3 linked regions of the Mus musculus genome follow. The protein of the gene in region 2 interacts with the protein of the main gene of each other region in a pairwise test. Links are inferred from orthologs where the notes say so. Each region holds a gene or a part of one and is shown on either strand. Other genes may lie near its edges.

The links.
Region 1: the proteins of Gramd3 (region 2) and Cd207 interact in binary tests that used the Homo sapiens proteins (3 or more experiments, as listed by UniProt). The two-hybrid records come from large-scale screens. The link is inferred for Mus musculus from reciprocal best matches to the Homo sapiens genes GRAMD2B and CD207.
Region 3: the proteins of Gramd3 (region 2) and Tmem43 interact in binary tests that used the Homo sapiens proteins (3 or more experiments, as listed by UniProt). The two-hybrid records come from large-scale screens. The link is inferred for Mus musculus from reciprocal best matches to the Homo sapiens genes GRAMD2B and TMEM43.

Annotation. Positions count from the first base shown.
Region 1 is NC_000072.6:83,675,054-83,679,224, forward strand, and holds the start of Cd207 (C-type lectin domain family 4 member K), read right to left. Parts: upstream 2,805-4,171; 5' UTR 2,747-2,804; coding exon 2,665-2,746; intron 2,573-2,664; coding exon 2,456-2,572; intron 895-2,455; coding exon 520-894; intron 1-519. UniProt on the Homo sapiens protein: Calcium-dependent lectin displaying mannose-binding specificity. Induces the formation of Birbeck granules (BGs); is a potent regulator of membrane superimposition and zippering.
Region 2 is NC_000084.6:56,430,664-56,434,970, forward strand, and holds the start of Gramd3 (GRAM domain-containing protein 2B), read left to right. Parts: upstream 1-1,468; 5' UTR 1,469-1,611; coding exon 1,612-1,694; intron 1,695-4,307.
Region 3 is NC_000072.6:91,472,018-91,476,510, forward strand, and holds the start of Tmem43 (transmembrane protein 43), read left to right. Parts: upstream 1-1,689; 5' UTR 1,690-1,869; coding exon 1,870-1,881; intron 1,882-4,493. Other genes in the region: Chchd4 (mitochondrial intermembrane space import and assembly protein 40), read right to left, coding at 1,299-1,320. UniProt on the Homo sapiens protein: May have an important role in maintaining nuclear envelope structure by organizing protein complexes at the inner nuclear membrane. Required for retaining emerin at the inner nuclear membrane.

The DNA of each region.
Region 1 (4,171 bases), on a different chromosome or scaffold from region 2:
TTCTGCTAGAGGCTTTAATGCCCAATTTGACGTTTTGCTATATCAATCTATCACCTATCTATCTGTCTCTCTGTGTCTATCAATCATTTATTCATCCATCATTTGTTGTCTATTCTTTTTTAAGATAGATTTATTTATTATATGTATATGAGTACACTGTAGCTGTTTTCAGACACACCAGAAGAAGGCATCAGACCCCACTACAGATAGTTGTGAGCCACCATGTGGTTGCTGGGAATTGAACTCAGTACCTTTGGAAGAGCAGCCAGTGCTCTTAACTGCTGAGCCATCTCTCCAGCCCCTGTTTATTCTTTTATTTTTAGCTCACTACATATTTAATAAACTCACTCACTCCAAACCAAGTATGTGGTTTTTTTCAGGCCACACAGAATGCCAGGGCAGACTAGACTCCCAATGCTTCTACATTCTGCACCTTAGTGTAGAGACCCAAACTACTGCTCAAAACAGGTAGGGGCTCGCGGCCCCTGGTCAGCCTGCAGGCTGATCTCATTTACTTACTCTGTTGTTTGAGCAGCTTGTTGACATTCTCCAAGCTGTTCTGTAGTCCTTGGACCTTTGTGTTCAAGGCGCTGGCTTTATCCAGATCTCTTTTCAGTTCTGGGATTTTGGCACTGAGACTGTCAACCTCTCCCCAGCTCATTGTTAATATCTGGAGCTGATCATTGGCTATCTTCATGCTGGTTTCCAAAGACAGGATCTGAGAACGCACCCTCTTGAGGGTGGTGTTCACTATCTGCATCTGAACCTCAGCATCGTCCACACGACCTCTTTCAGTCTTAAGATCAGAACCCAGGGTGCTGATGTTGTCCACACGACCTTTCAACATCTGGGCATCACTCTTCACATCCAATATTTTGCCCATCAACCTAGGATCTAGATTTGAGACAGTCAAGGGGTCAGCTGAGGGGTTCCTGAGCCATGGAGATGGAGTGTTGTCCAAAGGAAGGAGAAGCTGCAGGATCAAGACAGTCCAAGGAACTGCCACCCACTCTCCATCCATTCATCAATATGCAGCAAGTATGCATTAGGGGCTACCACACATCATGAACGCTGGTTGGCACAGGCAGTGAGGAGACCAAGAGTCCTCATGAAGAAGCAGAGGGAGATCCCAAACCTGAAATTCCTTAGTGTGGTCTGGGTGAACTTGGTAAAGGGGGTTCCCTTAGTCACTGCCTCATCACTCCATCTCTGGGTCCTCTCTCAGTCTATGAGTTAGTCCCCAGCCATCTCCTGTCAAAGACCCCACCACCAGCTAGGGAAGCACACCCGTCCCTTGTCTGCCCACAGCCTGCTTTATGGCCATGAGTGGGGCCATATACATGTAGACTCCAGAGCATACGGGAGGGGCATGAAGCTCTTTCTGCCCTTCCTTGGCCCTATCTCTCATACTCTACTAAGATCATTGGCACAGGAGCCAAAACTAACCAATAACTGTCAAAGGAGTCCTATGGGATGGAAGATGACTCAGCAGGAAGAACACTTATCCTTGCAGAATACCTTGGTTTACTTCCCAGCATATATGACAGCTCTTGACTATAACTCTTGACTATGACTTCAGTTCTAGTGAAGTCCAATGCACTCTTCACTCTTAGGGCACCAGGGCATGTGGTGCACAAACAGGCAAGCAAAACACTCATATACATATATACAATAAAATGATATTTTTAAGAGAGTCCTATGAGAAAGGAAGTGTTAGAAGGGCCTGGTGGACACACCTTTACTCCCAGCACTCAGGAGGCAAAGGCGAGTGAATCTCAGTGAGTTCCAGGCAGGCCTGATCTACTGGGTTCCAAGCTAGGCAGGGCCACAAACAAAAGGAGAGAGGTGGGAGATAAGAGAAGAGACAAGACTAGTGGTCTAGGATAAGATCAAGGTCAGTGATGTCCAGGAGACCATGCATGTAGATCATAAAAAGAAAAGACATTTTTCCCTGGGCTCTCTAGAGCAGAAGGAAGAGAGGTATGATTTCAGCAGAGGCCAAGAAGCTTCTAGAAGAGGAATAAGAAGGCTCCAAGTATGGACATACTCTTTGCCTGGACAAAGGAGTGCAGAGACTGGGAGGTTTGCTGGCTCGGTTCAGCGCAGAACTAGTATAGTACCGAGTAAATACCTAGTGAGATCAGGAGACATCAAGCTCCCTGTTGGGAGCTAGCAACAAAGCTTTGAATCCAACAATCTGGGAGCTGTGAGTGACAGGAGTCTAAGGGAGTCAAAGGCAGAGATAAAAAGCTTAGTGATTGTTTCTTGAAGACAGAAGAGTACCCTGAGAACAGACATTTTCTAATGCCAGTTATAAGGTCCTCCTAGAACCCAGTACAGAAGGGATAGCAGGCCAGCTTCTAGAAACATCAGGAAAGTTCCTAAAATGTCACAGACCCGAGACACCAAGGACTGTAGCCAAAAGGTTTGGATCCCCAGGGACCAGTTGACTTACAGAAAACAGCCTGAAGCACAATGGAGGTGACCAGCACCAATGCCAGGCAGGTGAAGGCCACGCAGATACAGAGAGGTTTCCTTAGAACTGGAGACAGATCTTGCTTGGGAGGAGGCTCTGGAAGGGGACAGAGAGGTCTGTTAAGGATCAGTGAAGAGCAGTTGTGGGCAGAAGCACCAAGTGGGCATGGAGCAGTAGCTGGTACTTGCCTCGAGGCCAGAGAGAGATGTTCTGTTTGTCCACTGTGAAGTGCGCTTCGGGAGCCTCCTCCTTCATCTCTGCCTCTGGCATAGGAAATTCTCAATATCTGTCTCCCCAAGGACCTTTTTATCCAGAAAGAAACGGGAAATGAGTCAAAAAGCAGGCCACTTTGTCATGCCCAAGTTCCCTGTTCTTGGCTTAGACGATTTGCCTGGCAGAGGCCACAGCTTCATCCTTTTGACTAAGATTTGGGCTTTGATGAGGAAGCCTCCTGACTTCTTCCCTGGTACACAGACATTTTAATCATCTTATCTGAAGACTCTTCTATTCTTGTAAAGAGTCCTTCATCTATCATCCATCCATCATCTATCCACCCACCCTACAAATGTACATTGAGTGCCTTCTAAGAGCTCAACCCAGGACCCCAGAGATGAACTTCTCAGTCTTCTCACTCAGCAGCTTGACACCTGACAGGAAAATGCAGCCCAAGCAAGTAAATTACAGTACAAGATGAAGAACATGGTGGTGAATGAATATGCACTGTCAAAGTACATACAGGGAGAATGTGGTAGAGTGCTGACTGAGGGATGGGTACACTCAGGGTTAAGGGATGGGCACACTCAGGGTGTGGGAAATAAGGCTAATAGGACACTAGGGAACCTGTAGATAGCTCCAGTCCTGTATACATGTGTAATATGTGACAGGAGGTGGGCAAGGGTCTAAAGAACCATCTGGTATCAGGCAATAAGGGTCCTTTTGAAGCATCTTAAGGAGCTTTATCTCCTTGTGAGTTCAGGCAGGGGACTTGAGGACAAGAAAGAGCACTCTGAGGGTATAGGGAGGTAGTTCAGTCAGTAAAGTGCTTGCCATATAAACAGGAGCTGTTCAGATCTCCAGCACCCATGTCAAAGCCAGGTACATCAGCTGGCACCTATACAACCAGGCTAGGGAGGCAAACAAGAGCATCTCAGGAGATCACTGGCCAACCAGACCAGCAAAGAGTGATCTCTAGATTCAGTGAGGGACCCTATTTTCAAAAGATAAGGACTTATGTAGAGGGTACTCAAGGTTCAGAGGAGCTGATCGGGAACTCAGTGAATGAGTAAGTTTTCTCCTGAGAAGTGTTTTGCTTTGAAGAAGCCTGCTATATCTAAGAATGTTGTCCAGGCTCTAAACAAATATTCCTCAGAAGGTAGGAAAGAGAGAAGGGTGAAGAGGAAAGAAGAAAAAGAACAGGGAGAAGATGAAGGAACTGGCACAGATAATTGGATGGAAGGAAGGAAGGAAGGAAGGAAGGAAGGAAGGAAGGGAGGGAGGGAGGGAGGGAGGGAGGGAGGGAGGGAGGGAGGGAGGGAGGGAGGGAGGGAGGGAGGGAGGAAGGAAGAATGGATAGATGGATGGATGATGGATGGATGGATGGATGGATGGATGGATGGATGGAAGATAAACAGCTGGGTGTATGAGAGGAAGAGAATGGAATAATGAGTAGAAATGTGTTCATTGATCAGTGGTTCG
Region 2 (4,307 bases):
TTACAGGTTTTCTAACTCTGTCGGTAGTCTCTTTGGGTTTGGTGATGGATAAGCGCATAAAACATATTACACACTGAAAGTGTAAAATTGAATGTGGAGTTTCAGAGCTTCTGTTCCAAATGCCAGTTCTTTTTTCAAGACAGGGTTTCTCTGTGTAACCCTGGCTGCTGTGGAACTTGCTCTGTAGTCTAGTCTGGCCTGGAACCCAGAGATCCACCTGCCTCTGCTGGGACTAAAGGCATGCACCACTCATACCCAGCCAGAATGCCAGCTCTAGCTGCAGAGAAGTTTACTGAGTTGTATAGAGTTTGGTTCTGGTTACTTTCTGTGTGCGATGTTATTTATTTGCAATTTATATAATAGAGTTTATAAGATTAGAAAAGACAAGAGCTGGAAGAATAAACAAATTAGCTTGGTGATGTAATTAAAAATGTACCAAGTAAAATAATGCAGGGCACTTACTCCTTATGCTACTTTACCCACAACCCACCTCTATGACTCCCCCCCCCCCCGCGCGCGCGCACGCACACACACACACACACACACACACACACACCCCTCCTCTGCCTTTCAGAAGTCCTAGTCAGCGATGCTGAAGAATGAGTGTTTGAGCGCTCTTTAACTCAGCTGTAAGGGTTACCCAGGATACTCACCCTACTCATGCATCAAAACAGCCTGATCATGGCTTTGCAGAAAGTTAAACACAGAGCGCCACGTGACCCAGCAAGTCTACTTTTAGATAAGCATCCAAAGGAATGGAAGCAGGGAGTTGAACAGACACTTGGACACCGGTTCACAGTAGCATCATTCAGAACGGCGGAAGGTGGGACTTGCCCAAGTGTCCATCCGTGGAGAAATAAAAACACAACATCTACTATGGAAGATGTATATGTGGTAATGGAATATTATTCAGCCAAACCACGCCCAGCCAAGATAGCTAAGGAAGTTTGGATAATTGTTTTACTGCCTCTTCCATCTCTTTCCCACTGAAGAACTAGAAGGGATTAACTTGGTGAATATTCATTCCCTTTGTCCCTACCTGACAAACCGAGGGGCTCTATTGTTAGCTCGGAGAGACGGTCTTCAGTGAGATCAGACTCCATGTGCAAAATTTAGGCGAGGAAGTGGGCCGGTCCTCAGGGCACTAGTGTGAGCCACCACCACACAATGCGGTTCACTTCCTGCACCGCAGCTCCCGGCTACCCCGGCTTACTCCCCCACCCCACCCCCGCCCCTAATACTCGCTGGGTTGGAGAGACTGAGAGGACCTAGAACAGCAGGCGGCTACTGTGTTGTGTCTTAGGCAAATGTTTCGACTGCTTGGCCAATTAGCGTCCTCTCCCAGAAAGACGGGTTCAACAGGTTTCCAATTGCTCCTCCTCTGTCTCGTGGGTTGGGGAAAAGGGCTGTCACTTTGCTTCGACCCTCCCCTTCCCACCCTCTGGTCTCTCCCAGCCCAGCTCGGACCAATCGCGCCGGCTCCAACGTGTCCATGTTGGCGGCCCGGGAGCACCGCCGCCTGGATGCGCAGCGCTAGGGTGCCGGAGAGCTGGGAGCCGGGAGCCCCGAATAGGGAGCCGAGTGCTGGGGTACGCCCGGGACGCGGCCCCGATGACCGAGCTCCAGCAAGAGGTGGAGGACGCCAAGCCAGCCAAAGTGCTCACCAAGAGAGAAGGCAAAGTTGGCCCGGCCCAGTAAGTGACCTCTACTGGACGCGACGCGCCCAGACCGAATTGTTAGCCTGAGTTCAGACTGGGAAAGGCTTTCTGAACTTCTGTAGAGACAGCCCTTATATATATCTTAATCTCTCTGTCTCTGTCTTTGTCTCTCTGTGTCTGTCTCTTTCTCTGTCTCTCTGTCTCTGCCTCTCCCCCTACCCCCCCGCCTTGTGTGTGTCCGTGTGTCCGTGTGTGTCCATGTATCCCTCCCTCTCTCCCTTCGTCTCCAGCTTTTTCTTTCCCTCTCTCCGTTCCTGCCTCCTCCCTTCCTCTCCTCACCGAAGAATGCATTGTCTATCCGGCAATCCGGTGATGATGAGAATTATTGGATCCGAAATTATAGTTGATGTTTCCTAATTCCCCAGGGAGGTTTAGGGAAACTCGTCAAATCTTGGAGCCATGTCAAAAGTCCGTGCTAAAATTTGCTCAGTCCTCCTATTTAAATCTGAATGACATCTGGGGAGATCCAGGCGCCCTTGGTTATTGGAGCTCATCTGTTGATCACTTTCACAATGATGTGTATTTAATTTGACTCAGAGCTCGGGGTCAGCTCTCCTCATTTTTCCCCACTGTTTCCACCTAAGAGAGAAGTAGTCGGAAGCAAGCATCCTTTATCCTCCCCTCAAAGTCTGTGCCCTTACACACACACACACACACACACACACACACACACACACACACACACACCGCTACCACCACCACCATATGGTTGTGTCTGTCCTCTTAAAGCATTTATGTGCACATTAGATTTGCACATTATCTGACCTATACCATCTTCTAACCGAAAACAAAGTTTCCCATCACAAGTATTTACATCCTGTAAGGAAACTCTTTCCTTTCTATTGCTACTTGGAACACTTGTTTAATAGCCCAGAGGTATGGTTTTTAAACGGTTGCTATTCTTGTTCCTCTTTTTAAAAGCAAAAAACCCTTTGACTCGTTGCTGACTTGCTCTGTTACCACATCACTGAAACATTAACCCATGGCACAGTCAATATCTAAATAAGCCTGCTTTGATTTCACAGTATTAAGTTGTTAGAGAGCCCACAATGCTTTATTGATACTACAGTTTCTAATAGTGAAGACTCGTTCTCTGTTACCATTATTTCATGCTTCGGGCATTTTGTTGTTGTTTTGTTTGTGGATCACAGCTTTGTCCCACATGAGGACTGCATCCTTGACTGCAGATTCTCCATTAGCATTTCTCAACCTATAGGTTATGACTCCATTTGGGGTCCAAGGTCCCTGTCACAGAGGTGGTCTAAAACATTGGGAAAACACAGATATTTACATTCTAACTCTTAACGATAGCAAAATTACAGTTATGAAGTAGCAACAAAATAATGTTATGGTTGGGTTCATCCCAAAATGAGGAACTGTATTAAAGGGTCGCAGCATTAGGAAGGTTGAGAACCACTACTGTGGACTCTGTCAATTGAGTTTATATGGAAATTTGGGAAGAAGATAGGTCAGTTGTTTTGATCTGTGCTTTCAAGGCTGTGGCCATATTCTCTCCTGGGTCTCTGACCTTCTGACAGCTCTTTGCTGTCCAGTGTCCAGCATCTTAAACTAGCATCTCTCATCCTTCACTTGGTCATACCAAAAGGTCGAAAAGTGTTATATTTCCCACTCGTTATGATGAAGGAACAATGTTCCCAGAAGTAAAACTCCCGTAAAAATTGGTTTCGTGCCACCGAATAAAATCCAACTGTATAATAATTCAGATCTATAACCGGGCATGATGGCACATGCCTTCAATCCTAGCAGTTGGGAGGCAGAAGCAGGAGACTCTTCATGAGTTTGAGCCCGATCTTATCTACATAGCAAGTTCCAGGACAGCCAGGATTACATAGAAAGACCTTGGCTCAAAAAAAAAAATCTAAGAAAAAAATGGACTATTAAATAATACCTGTTTCCTTTGCTCTTTATCATCTTTCTACATACTCTATTTCTCTGAAGAAAACTCAGTATGGATAGTCCTTTTACCGTGTTATAGACATTGTCTGTGGCTGGAGCCCTGAGGGTCAGAAGCAGGACTAGAGAGCCAGGGTCTTGAAACTTGTAGTCTTAGACTAACCCAAGGGAGTCTACTTCCAGTTACACAAAGTAGGATGACTCAAGTCTACCAAACAGCTGCCGAGCTTTGGCATCTTTGTGTCCTAGATGTCTAGATCCTCAGAAAAGGCCATGCTTTGGTTTGTTTGAAAACTCTATGATAGCATTGATGCAAGTTTCGTTCATTCAAAGCTTAGACCTTAGGGAAATACTGGGCACCCTGAAGCTCTGATACATTCTTTCATTTGGAATCCCTGAAGCTCATAGCTCTGATACAGTCTTTCATTTGGACTCTTCCCTGTCACCAATTGCTTTCAGTTCAACAAATACTGTGCTACCTACATGTACAATCATGGTGTTGAGTTCAAGGATATATGTGGTTTTGTGTCTGTCCTTCTGAAACCCGAAAGAACTGTGGGCCAGACTGGGCACAAAAGTGGCCATTGCCACATTAAGTGCACAAGGTACCATACAAAGTTTGATCTCTAACCAAATCTTCCCCGTGGTTATGATATTTGCCTATTGCCGTCTTTA
Region 3 (4,493 bases), on a different chromosome or scaffold from region 2:
GGCACATACTGAGACTGTCTCAAAAACGGAGAACCACTAAACACATACACACACACCTTTTGAACCAGGAAGAAGACGGGCTCTATGTTGCATTAGCAGCTGATGGACCCATCCTCCTTCCTGAAAAACCCGAGGTCTGTAAATCCATCAAGAGGGGTAGAAATGTTTATCTGCATAGCCTCCTTAACTCAAAGACTCGTCATCAACCTACCAACTAGGTTGGAGGAAACAAAAGTCATCCTAGGAATCCGCCTAACAGTGCTGGGTCAAGGACTTTCGTATGCGGAACACCAAGTGCTAACCAACAGAAACAGTCCTCGGGAGAGGCACCAATGATGATGCTGGGAAGGAGGGGGTTCTACAGCGGACTGGGGCCTTCTAACTGGATGTATGGCCTTGGGTGGATCACTTCCTCCTTTGTACCTCATGTTCTCTAGACTTAAGAGTAAAGGAGCTGAGAATTCTGGGTGAACCAAGTCTCTCTGTAGCTTTGTATTCTCAAGAGCCCTCCAACTCTTTCCTGCCTTGGGCACGTGCTTCGTGAATACCAGAGTAAATGACGCCTGATCTCTCAATTTACAGGAGTGGAAACTAGGGCCTGGCGGGTTTGGCAGCTCAGACATAAGAAGCCAGTCAGTGCTGGGAGACCTTAGAGCAACAGATTGGTCTGGATTCTTCTGGGTTGCTGCTTACAGGTAACAACAGGTAGTGAGTGGTCCTCAACGTGGCTAGAAATGACGGAAGAAAGGAAGCTCTTTCATAGCGGGTCCCGGTTTCGTGACCTGATGTGGGTTCCTGGATCGAGTAACCTGTCTTAATTTTCCGTTTGATAAGACGTGGACAGTAAGGGAACCCGACATATAAAAATGGCTACGTTAAGTTTAAAAGCGTGCCTAGTACACAGAAGGCGCTCACTAAATGCTCCTGCCAGATGCACTTCAGCACGCCCACTCTAGCCCAAGCGGTAATTTTTCGGGATAGCTAAAAAGCCTGGGCGGGATAGAACCACGTGGGGAGTGCTAGGAGCGACGGTGTCTAATTCCTAACAGTCCCCGATTCCCAGCCAGAGACAACGTGCTCCACACTGGCCAGGCCCACGTGAGGCCCTCCGAGGCCCGGGTTCGGGCTTCACCTTGACCTTGGACCGGCCTCGTTCCTCACGGAGCCTCTGCCTCTCTCGTCTGGAAACCGCCGCGTGAGGCCCACTAAAGGGCCCACAGCCGCTCGGTGGAGACCACTTGATCGCGTGTCTCTCGCAGGCCCGTCCCGGCCGGTCTCCATGGCAGCGCCCGACTCACCTTCCTGCCGGCAGTAGGACATGGTTGTTCCCGACAGTCCTCTGCAGCTCGCAGAGGCAGCGGGCGCGGCTGGAGCGGATACACCTTCTCGCCGTGACCTCCCTCGCCGCTTCTCAGGCCTGGCGGGTGGCACTGAGGCCCGCACAGACCCGCCCCCTCCAGGCCTGCCCGCCGCGCGCCTGCCTCCGCGCGTCCTAAGCACCAGAACCGCTTCTCAGTCGAAAACTACACTGACCAGCAGCCCTTGCGCCTCTCCAACTAGACCGATACTACATTTCCCAGAAATCTTGCAGCGCGCACGCGCACCAGTGAAATACAGTGGTTTGTAATTTTGTGGCGAACGTGTCAGACGTCGGACTACATTTCCCAGCAGCCCTTAAGATGCGCACGCGCAGACAACTTGAGGCTTAGGCAGGGCGGTAACTTTTGTCCTGCGTCCCGCCAGGTCCTGGATTCCACGAGAAGTCTTGCAGCTCTGTGGCAGACAGGAGGTCACCGTATTCTGCGTTCCGGTCGTCAGCCCAATTCCTAGCGGAATAGAGCAAGACGGCGGCAGCGAACCAAGCCCACCATGGCAGCGAACGTAAGTGCTTCCTGATGCCCGGGTGACACCATCATCCGGGCCGCTTTTTCCCTGGATCCGCGCTGGGTCTTACAGGGGTGCTACCCCAGTGGGTGCAGCTGCCCTCAGCTCTCTGAGCTTCTCCATCTCGGGCTGCGCGTTTGTGGGCCTCAGCAATTAGTCGAGTCCGCTCGTGCACGGCTGCTTCTTCCACTCCTAGTTTCTCTCTGGGCCCCTGGGGATACGAAACTTGGGGAACTTGGGGAACTGAAGGACCACGGGGAAAGTGTCTATTGGTGAGCAGACTGATGAGGTGATCCTGCCCAGGTGGAACTGTCCAGCAAATGCTTCTTTGGTCTTCGCTCCCTAGGGGGTGTGTACTCAAAGGCTGTGTGATGCTACTGTAGCTGGACTAGCCTGGCTGGATGACGTGGAGAGGGAGACTTTTCTCTGCTGCCGGGTTCCTGGTGCACTGATTTGGTTAGAGCCCCTAGCTGAGGATAGTTCACCCAGACCTCTGGCCTCTTCCTACTGCAACTAGTCCTTAAGAATTTTCCTAGTGAATCTTAACATTCATTCAACAAACGGAGCAACACCACCTACTAGGGGACTGGGTGTGGGAGAAGCCGGTGAGTCACCAGTGCCTCTGGTGAAAGCGCCTCTGAAGCCATCTCAGGAGCACTGCCAGCCCCAGGCACACCCTTACTCCCTCCTTGGTAGAGTGTCACTACAGCCCTCCTTGGGCCTGTTACACCCTCTTCCCAGGCCCCTCCTCAGTCCGGCAGACTTCACCTCCTGGGAGGCCGGAGTTTGTTTCACCCACTGTGCAAGCAATATCTGTTTGGCATATTGTCTGGCCCTGGCAGGGGAAGAGAACCAAAGGTTAGGAATGCTGCACTGGAGCCAGAGGAGAAGGCAACCAGCAGGCCAGCCTGGCAAGAGCAGGCAGACCCCTTCTGATCCATCTCATCAGCGTCATATCTCACCGTTCCCCAGAAGAAGACACCTGCTTGGGGGCTCGTAGCCAGCTTGGCATGCTACATCCCCAGCCTGGGAAGGTGCTGATGAGGGCAGACTTTGGAGACAAGCCCGGAGGCAAATCCAGATTCTTCTACTCTAACTCCTTTGGGTTTACTCTCTCATGGGATCAGTTACTTTGAAATTTGAGGAAGGTTGCTGGGCACAGAGCCTGGTACATGGGAGGTACTTAATCCTTGAAAAAGTTACTCTTAGAGGCTAGCCCACACAGTCTTGGTAGGCAGAGACCATCTTGGATTCTCACACTAACAAACATAGACACAATGGGATATCTTCAGATGTCTTTGTCCATTTATTGTTATATTACTTTCCTGGGAAGACTTGAGCTTTTATTAATGTCAGCAGGATAGCCATAGACCAACTCCATCTTGGTGAACCAAAGAGGTTATCTTGGGTGACTGATGGAGGTGTGTGCCGTCCCTTCTGTTAGCCCCCTGTCTCCTGTATCCTCTAGCAGTACTGTACACTGCTGGGGGTGTGACATAGGAGGAGGTGAGAGGCTAGAATCTCAGGTGATGGTATAAAGATCCTCGTCCACTCTTCCAGGGAACATGCCTGATCATGTGAGGGGTTCATCTAAGCTATTTGGGTCTCAATATGACCATGGCTGTGTCATGCCTAGAGACAATACCAAAGCATCCATACTGTAGCTGAGTCACCAGGCAGGGTAAGCAAGAAAAATCTTAAGACAGTGAGTGGAACAAAAGCTCCTGAGTTCAGTATAACAACTTTCCTGTCAGGTAGGTATTATCACCAGCAAGTGAGGAGTCAGGACCAGAGAGGTGGAGCACATGTTGCCAGGTTCCAAAGCAACAGAGCTAGGATTCCAACCCTGGTGTGCCAATATCCAGGCCCAGTATGTTCCCACCCATTGATTCATCATTTATTGATTCTCAGCCCAGTATGCTGGAAGTGGAATGTGTTACTTAGGATACATAAGTGTACATATACACAGGTATATACATATAGATGCTATTTCCCACCTCACCTCTCTCCCAGCTGGAGGAACATCTTCCTGGCCTCCCTTCCTTCCTGGCCTTAAGGGGAGCCAGCAGGAACACAGGACTTTTTTTTTTCCATTCTTCAGCTTCAATTTCAGCTAAGTGATGAAGAAGACAGTCTAGGGTAGAGGGGCCTGCCTGAGTTGAACATCTACTCAGTACTTACAAGTTATTGATCCAGGCAGATAACCTAAGCAGAGTCTCGAATTCTTCATCTGTGAAATGGGTATTAGTAGTCTCTTTACCGTTGAGCCAGCCCATGGTTGGCCTGTAACAAATGAATATGCTATTGTGGGCATCCTGCTGGCTGAGATTGTCTTCTTGTCTGCAACAGTTGTCTCAACTGAGTTTTATATGGTATTGTTCTGGATACAGTGGGTGTCCTCAGCAGGCCTGAGCCAACAGTGGAGAGCAGCCAGAAGAAGTGGCATTTGATATGCTCAAGGATTCTGTCTCAAATCCATCCTTGGATACTGGGCAGGAAGGGGCCTGGCTCTCTGAGGTACCTGCCAGGTGACCACTTTGTATCTCTGTGACTTTCATCCACACCCACAGTCTGGGTGGCAGCTCTAGTTTCAGTTATGGAGAAATCTG